Arabidopsis thaliana: one gene and its partner. The protein of the gene in region 1 purifies or fractionates together with the protein of each later gene. This does not show direct contact. Each region holds a gene or a part of one and is shown on either strand. Other genes may lie near its edges.

Evidence for each region.
Region 2: the proteins of NRPB6B (region 1) and NRPB8A fractionate together in Arabidopsis thaliana (co-fractionation; one large-scale study listed by BioGRID). This does not show direct contact.

The regions. Positions count from the first base shown.
Region 1 is NC_003071.7:1,618,028-1,622,074, reverse strand, and holds NRPB6B (RNA polymerase Rpb6), read left to right. Parts: upstream 1-1,695; 5' UTR 1,696-1,828; coding exon 1,829-1,866; intron 1,867-2,153; coding exon 2,154-2,187; intron 2,188-2,267; coding exon 2,268-2,440; intron 2,441-2,526; coding exon 2,527-2,578; intron 2,579-2,678; coding exon 2,679-2,746; intron 2,747-2,837; coding exon 2,838-2,907; 3' UTR 2,908-3,284; downstream 3,285-4,047. Other genes in the region: AT2G04650 (ADP-glucose pyrophosphorylase family protein), read left to right, coding at 1-89. UniProt on the Arabidopsis thaliana protein: DNA-dependent RNA polymerase catalyzes the transcription of DNA into RNA using the four ribonucleoside triphosphates as substrates. Component of RNA polymerase II which synthesizes mRNA precursors and many functional non-coding RNAs.
Region 2 is NC_003070.9:20,253,306-20,257,393, forward strand, and holds NRPB8A (RNA polymerase Rpb8), read left to right. Parts: upstream 1-1,632; 5' UTR 1,633-1,739; intron 1,740-1,904; coding exon 1,905-1,983; intron 1,984-2,238; coding exon 2,239-2,396; intron 2,397-2,719; coding exon 2,720-2,811; intron 2,812-2,918; coding exon 2,919-3,030; 3' UTR 3,031-3,383; downstream 3,384-4,088. Other genes in the region: AT1G54240 (winged-helix DNA-binding transcription factor family protein), read left to right, coding at 92-148, 244-337, 580-663, 761-1,082, 1,158-1,189; AT1G54260 (winged-helix DNA-binding transcription factor family protein), read left to right, coding at 4,035-4,051.

The DNA of each region.
Region 1 (4,047 bases):
CTGTGGAAGATGAAGTAGCAGTCATAGGAAGCATTGTTCTCCAGAATAAGACTCTTAATGTTAGTGTTCAAGATGATATCATCTTGTGATTTATCACAATGATTATCGTTTGGATTTTTTTTCTTTTTAATTGAAACAGAGAAACTTTTACAGAATTGTGTATTACATGAATTGAGTTCACAGGATTAGATTTTGAGTAAGTGAAACTATGGAAGATTTGTAAACTCTCACTGTACTTTGTGTTTAGATACTAAAAAGATTTTAGAAGAAAGAGTTTTAAAAGATCTAAGATAACAAGGAATCAAAGAAGTTTTGCTTCTTGATTGTGTAATCACTAGTGTTCAATACCTCCTTAGGCTCCTTTCTTTTGTGCAAATTGCTCACTAGAAAAATTGTTTATCTTGACTTCGTTTGTGGGGGTAGGCCCGGACATAATACCGGAACCCGAAGAACCGAACTGAACTTGACTCGAAATAACCAAACCCGTTCTACTTCGGTTCCGGCTAATTACTTGATCGGGTTCTGTTTTCAAATAACCGTGGGTACCGGAAATTACCCGAACTGAACCCGATACCCGTGGGTACTTTTTATTACCCGAACATATATATACATAGGGCTGCGCATATGGGTAACCCGTTCGGATTCGGGTAAAACCCGTTCGGGTTCGGGTTAAATGGGTAATGGATTTACTACCCAATAGGGTAAAATGAAAATTTTCGATTTCGGTCTAGTTCGGGTACATTCGGGTTCGGGTCGGCTTGGGTAAAGAATTTCAGGCCCTAAGAATAGCCAAACAAATGAAAACGGGTATTTTATGTGTAGATAGCGGGTACCCAACAAAAAAAAAACCTTAAATATTAACAAATTTTAATAATTTAATTAGATTTAGATATATTATACTAAATTTTGACAAACATAACAAATAATTTTTAAATAGTTGGGTATTTAGATCTAAAAGTAATTGATATATTTAGATTTATAATTATAATTTTAGATTATTACATTATATTAAGATTAAATATAATTAATATTTTTGATATTAAATCTATGTTCGGGTATCCTGTTTGGGTAACGGATAAACCCCGGACCGACCTGATACCCACGGGTTTACTAAAACTTTACCCAATGAAGTAATTTCTTAAAACCCTAACCCACCCCAACCCGATTTTTCGGTTCGGGTATCAGGTTCGATATCGGGTCCCGTTTTTTGCCCAGCCCTATATATACATATGAGGATATATATACACTAATAATGTGACTTGTTTAATGATTTGAGTTATGGAACAAGCTTAAAACAAGGTTTACTTCTTGTTTTATATTATTGGCTTAAGGAAAAACTTGTTATAATTTCAGATCTTTCGGGTTTTATGGATATTTTTATGTATGTTTGGGTATATTTGGACAAAGTTTGGGTAAGTAGTACTCAAACCCGAAATAGTTTTGGTTACTTATGGTTTTTTTAACTAATACCTGAATTATCGGACCCGAAGTGAAGCCGAACCGAACCCGACCCGAAATTGTTGATATAACCATACGGATCCAAAATTTCTAAACCCAAAAATTCGAACCCGAAAAATCCGACCCGACCCTGACCCGAATACCACATGCCCAGGGCTATGTTAGGGGAAAAAAAAAAAATACATGTGGGCTTAAATGGGGTTTGAAATTAAAACCGGTCTGAATAGACGGTTCATTAAGAAAACCGGCAATTAAAAACCGAACTTCATAGAGAGTCTTCTTTACGCATTCTCCGTCATTCGGTTAAGTTGCATCGATCGTTAGGGTTTTATCGAGAGAGCAAGGAGAGCGATTTCTCAAATCGACTTTAATGGCTGACGACGATTACAATGAAGTCGATGACTTGGGGTAATCTCTCCCTCTCTGTTTCCTATGTTAGTATCATTTGTACTCGATTTCAGTTGATTCTATCTTCTTCTTCCCGACGAATCGTAAACGATTGAGAACAATTGGATCAATTATTGTCTAGTTTGAGAGTCTATCAACGAGATTCTTTTTTGAAAATTTGCTTATTGTTCTGGCATCGTAGCATTGATTATAATTTCATATTGTTTAGATAGAAAACCCTAATTTCGTTTGAATCTTATACATCGGATTTCAAATTGTTGATGTTATGTGGTGATTTTCAATTGCAGATATGAAGATGAGCCAGCAGAGCCTGAGATCGAAGTAAGTTATTATTTGTAGAAGAGAGATTGACATTGCTTATTATTATTACTAGGCTGATTAGAATGTGTTGGTGTGAGTAGGAAGGAGTAGAGGAAGATGCTGATATCAAGGAGAACGATGATGTTAATGTTGACCCTTTGGAAACAGAAGATAAGGTTGAAACAGAACCTGTGCAACGCCCACGTAAAACCTCTAAGTTTATGACTAAGTATGAACGTGCACGTATCCTCGGCACTCGTGCTTTGCAGATTAGGTCAGCTACTGAGAACAATCTTTGTTGATTAACCGTTTAGTTGGCTCGGAAAGTTTGATTCTATGTACTGTTGTTGGCTGATACAGCATGAATGCTCCTGTTATGGTTGAGTTGGAGGGTGAGACTGATCCACTTGAGGTGTTGCCTTCTTCCTTCTTGTTGTGTTTTTCATGATTTGTCAGTAAATGTTGATATGTATATGAACATTTGTGTTGTTTATTGTATGATTTGGCTTAAGATTGCGATGAAAGAGCTTAGGCAAAGGAAGATTCCATTTACCATTAGACGTTATCTACCTGATATGAGGTGAGATTGCATTAGTTATATCAATACTTTTAGCTCTTCTTTCAAATTTGATATCTTCTTTTCTTGCGACTTACTTATGACTCTGAATCAGTTACGAGGAATGGGGAGTTGATGAACTGATCGTCGAAGACTCGTGGAAACGTCAAGTCGGTGGTGATTGATAAAATCTGGCCTATGTGTTTTGCAAAGCTTTCTGCTCTTGTATGGATTATGAACTTACGATATAGTCGCATGTAGAACTTCTTCATTTGTCCTATTCTCCAACACTACAAGAGTCAGGGACTCCAACAAAAATGCATGAACAACAAATTTTTTGTCCCAAGTTGTTTTTGGACATGGGTTTCGACAAGCCTGCATGTACATATACAAAGAAAGAAAATCCTTCGTGAAACCAAAAGAAGAAAACATCTATAATAGTTTGAGTATTGAGTAAGTACAACTCAATTGATAAACCTTTTCTCTCACACTTCCCAGCTTTTGTCGTCTCACAGAGTCAGATCGATTGATGCATAAATGAGTGATGCTAAAAATCAAAAAGCAAGATTAGAGAAGAATTATGCATGTTGTTTAAAGAAGTTGAGAAATAGTAATGTTAAAAACTATGTGAAGCGCTTGCTCGAGGATTGTTTCAGCAACACTATACAAGTGACTGGACTCAACTACTCACCATAGTCTCGGCCCAACGCAAGGATAGTGTAGCATGTTTCTTGATGAAATACATCTTTCAAACCACCGTTTACACCATCTGGCATGAGAGGAATCGAAGACGTCATGATGAATCTCCAAAATCTGCAGCCACTCTAATACAATGGATCGACAAGCAAATGCGTTTCCAACGCTGGCTTCAAAGTTGAAGTTAATCACTAAATTGTTCATTCTAATTTCTGATTTCAATCTATTTCATATAGAACATATGATACACTAATTGTAACGACGTTATCTTTTTTGAATCTAATTTACCATTTTCCAAAAAAAAAAAAAAAAAAAATGCAGGGATTAGAGAAGAATAATGCATTAAACTCAAAGCAAATAACTGTTAAATAGACCTTGGGATACACAACGTACAAAATAATGCATCTACATATACATTTTTGCAGCCATTTTAACAAATAAATTCTGGACTTTGAACTTATTTACGACTCAATGCCACTGAATTTATGCTAACAGTTAAATCAAATATTTACCTAACAAAAATATTACCTAAAATCTCTCATATATTAACTCCACCATTACTTCAAACGAAATCATTCCTAAAATCTCTCATAAGTATTTATTAATTTTCGGTTTTAATATCCTGTAAA
Region 2 (4,088 bases), on another chromosome or scaffold:
TGAATTTTATTGTATTCTTTAGAACCAATCTTTTAGAATTGATCTTTGCTTTTCTGGTTATGTTTTGATTGATTTGTTATCTCATTTTCAGTGAACAGCTTGAAAGGCTCATGATGATAGATTCAGAAGAAGACCGGGGTCCCTCTGGGTTTGTGACCTTCTCGATTCTTTAACCACCAATCTTTGTTTTCTCTGGTCTATCTATGTTTTGATATTACTCTTTTTTTGTTGGTTTTGTTTCAGGTTTACGACTGATGAATTGATCTTTCAGGCTTTAGAAACAGTCTACGAGAATCATAATGGTCTTGATGTCGATGCGATTTTCACTTTTATCAAGGTTAGGAGGATCTCTCTGTCTCTATAAGTATCTGTGTTTCATGGTCATATCTCATGAGTAGTGTATATTGGTTCTGAAATGTGAGTCAATAGCGGGATTACACAATGGAACATTAGGATCTGAAAATTTGACTTCATGTTCCATCCCCTAAAAGTCTTCCTTTTAAAGTCTTGGTTTTGTTGATTCCTCCGTTGTTCTTGATCAACTAACCATCATGTTCTTGTGGTTAATATAAATTGCAGGAAAGGAACGAGTTACAGGAAGATTTTAGGGAGCGGTTGGAAAACCAGCTGAGATATCTAGTTTCTGAAGGCCAAGTATACAAGGTAACTAGTTTTTCAGAGTTGCCTCACACTAATGTTAAGATTCAGTAGTTTTGTTTGATCAGTTCAGAAAAACGGAAAAAAAAACTTGTAAATGCAGGTAGGAAACCTCTACAAGATCCCCCGTGGTGTATTTGATACTCCAGTTGTGTCAGTAGGAGATTCAAATCAAAGAGAAACCATGGATCCAGAAGATTCCACGGGCACAAAGGCACAAGACACACCAAGTACTTGTGCTTCTTTCGCACCACCAACAACAGAAGTAGATCCTCGGATAATCGCATTAGCAAAAGAAGTCGCAGAGGCAGAACACTTGGAGTTGGAAGCAAAAGAGGCATACGAACTTGCAGATAAACACGCCCAGTTGCTAAAATTAGAAAGCAACATAACCTTGCAGTTAGCCGTAGAAATCCTTAATCGATGTAAGTAATGTCCACCTCTTAACCTTTTATCATCATCATCATCACTGACTTTTTCATTTGATTTGGTCCTTGCAGGTGCTAACGGTGAAAAGATTTTCCTGCTGTAAAAGCTTTGACCTTCTGGTCCGGTTCAAGGTGGATATATTCGATCACCGGTTTCTTTTTAGTGTTTTTGGTTTTGAGTAAAAAAAAGAGTGTAGATATGAAATGTGATTTCATTTGACTAACTAGTCATAGTTTGTTACTTTGTGGTTAAATGATTTTGGTTGTGAAGGCAACAGACTATTCTGTTAGTTTTTGTTAATACAAGTTTTTACAGATAATGCCAATCTTAAGAATTGAATAGGTTTTTCTAATACATAACATAAGAAAGAAAAAAAGAAAGTGTGTCATGGTGTCTTTAGCAAGTATTTTTAACGGTCGAGATTAATTTCAAATACTGATCAAGAAAGAAAAAAATTAGTTATGAGAATTACAATTTTATAATGGGCCTCATTGTAAGCCCATTATAAGCTTACATAGGACTTTTATGAGTTTTTGTTCTCAGTCTGTCCCTTTAATTGTTTTTTGGCTCTTCTATCGCCCATCGCTTGGGAGATTAAAGTCTGAACTTTTTGATCTCAAGCTTCTCCATCTCTCCCTCAACTCAAGCTCCTGGTTCGGAACTATTTACTTTCCTATGCGATTGGTTGTTTATAAGTTGATTTCAGAGTTCGGATTCTTGTACTCATTAGATGTCCATATAGGTCTTGTTTACTGGTTTAATTGGGGTTTTATCAAGGAAATAAAGAGTGTTTAGGGTTTGAATTTCCGTGTTTGCAGATGGCGAGCAATATCATCTTGTTCGAGGATATCTTCGTGGTCGATCAGTTAGACCCTGATGGCAAAAAGTTCGATAAAGGTATACACTTTATTAGCCTCACTCACGATTTCTAGTACTTCTCATGGCTTACATCGACGTTTGTTCATAGCTGTTTAGTTCATGTATGTATTGTGAATGAGTTCTTCCGTTTATCCTTTTTTGGTCTGAGTGTGTGGGTTTTGTGGAAAAATTTAACTTTTTAAGTTTTTAGTCTCCCCCAAGTTTTGTTCTGTCTTCAGATTGAGTGGCTTTCTCTTAAACCTACAATGATTTTTGTTGTGTTTGTGGTTACAGTTACTCGCGTTCAAGCTACGAGCCACAACTTGGAAATGTTTATGCATTTAGATGTTAATACAGAGGTTTATCCATTGGCTGTTGGTGATAAGTTCACACTTGCGTTGGCTCCTACGCTGAATCTCGATGGAACCCCTGATACCGGTTATTTTACTCCGGTAATAAACTCTACTGCTTTTTATTTAGTTGTTTTGTTTTGAGTATATACACAGTCTCTTGTTTGCTTGGCCAAATTTCCATGAATGGTAACTTTGAACCCGTATCTGGATTTTGTTAGGATATAACTGTTAATGCTGCTAAATGGTTGATATTATAACTCTGTTGGCTGATTCGAGAAGCCTGTCTATCTAGGAATAAGAGGAGACATGGAATTTTAACAAGCTTTAGTTCTTGAATCTTCAAGATCTAAATTTGAAAACCAAGAATGTGTATGCATATCTAAACATTAATCTTATCTAGTTTTCATCTCGATACATTACAGGGAGCAAAGAAAACACTTGCCGATAAGTATGAATACATAATGCACGGGAAGCTTTACAAGATCTCTGAGCGTGACGGCAAAACTCCAAAAGCGTAAGAATCCCATATAACCCCCCCATATCAAAATAATTCAATCCAATTCAACTCACATATCAAACCATCATGTTTTATTTTATTTTCTTTAAATTATGTGTTTCCAGAGAGCTATATGTTTCGTTTGGCGGCCTCCTGATGTTGCTTAAGGGAGATCCAGCTCACATTTCTCACTTCGAACTCGACCAGAGGCTCTTCCTACTCATGAGGAAGCTGTGAGGTGCCATTTTTTCGGATAAAAACTGAATTAATAGAGAGCTTGATCTAATGTTTAACTTTTACTACTTCAACTCTTGCAATTTTCATGAAGCAACTCTTGTGCAAAAGCAAGTTTTTCCGTTCCGTTTTAAATCCCATTCCACAAATTGACTGCTCCGGTCCGGTGAAATGTACTATTTGTAGCTCTAAGCTATTGATGAAGATAAGCAATTGAGACCAAGAACATAACAAAAAACACAGACAAAGACACAGTTTTTTTTTTGGTCAAGGACACAGTTTTGTTTCTTCTCTAACCAATTTTCACTACACTCTTATCTTCTAACAACAATATGAAGCAATAAAGCTCGAAAAATAGATTCTGAGCCAAAAATAGAGTGTTTTCTCTAATCCATGCTTGTGTTTTCTCTAGTCCATGTTTGTGTTCTTGCTTCTTTGAGACTGGGAGAATATATCTTGGACGGTCGAGATTAGTCTTAAAAATTCTGAACAGATCAAGATTTAATTTTAAATCTGTATAGTGGGCCATGTTTAGGCCCAATAAAAGCTTTTGATGAGGCCTTCTAAATGGTATATATTTCGACTTGAAGAGAAAGAAAAAACAACTAGAAAATCGGAAGAATAAATGGACGGTGGAAGAAGGAAGCCCTTCTCGCCGGACTAGCCAAGCACGGTTCCGGAAAATGGACAAGTATTTTAGACGATCCAGAGTTCGCGGCTCAACTTCTAGATCGCACAAACATTAACCTCAAGGTAATCGAAAATTCCCAAAATCCCATTCGTCTTCCATGGAAATCGATTTTTGAGATTTATTATGTGGAATTAGGTCGAAATTTGGGTATTAATGTTGTATTGTTTATTCTTATTGCCCAAATTTCAAGGATAAATGGCGTAATATAAAGAAATCAAGGACACAATCACTCGAATCTACCTCCATTTTCACTTCACCTTCAGAGACTTCTCGTTCTGTTGTTAGCTATGAGGCTTCTCCTAGTAGTTCATCTGATATGAGCAATGATGCTAGGTTTGTTATATTTAGAGATTTTTTAGAATTGGTATGT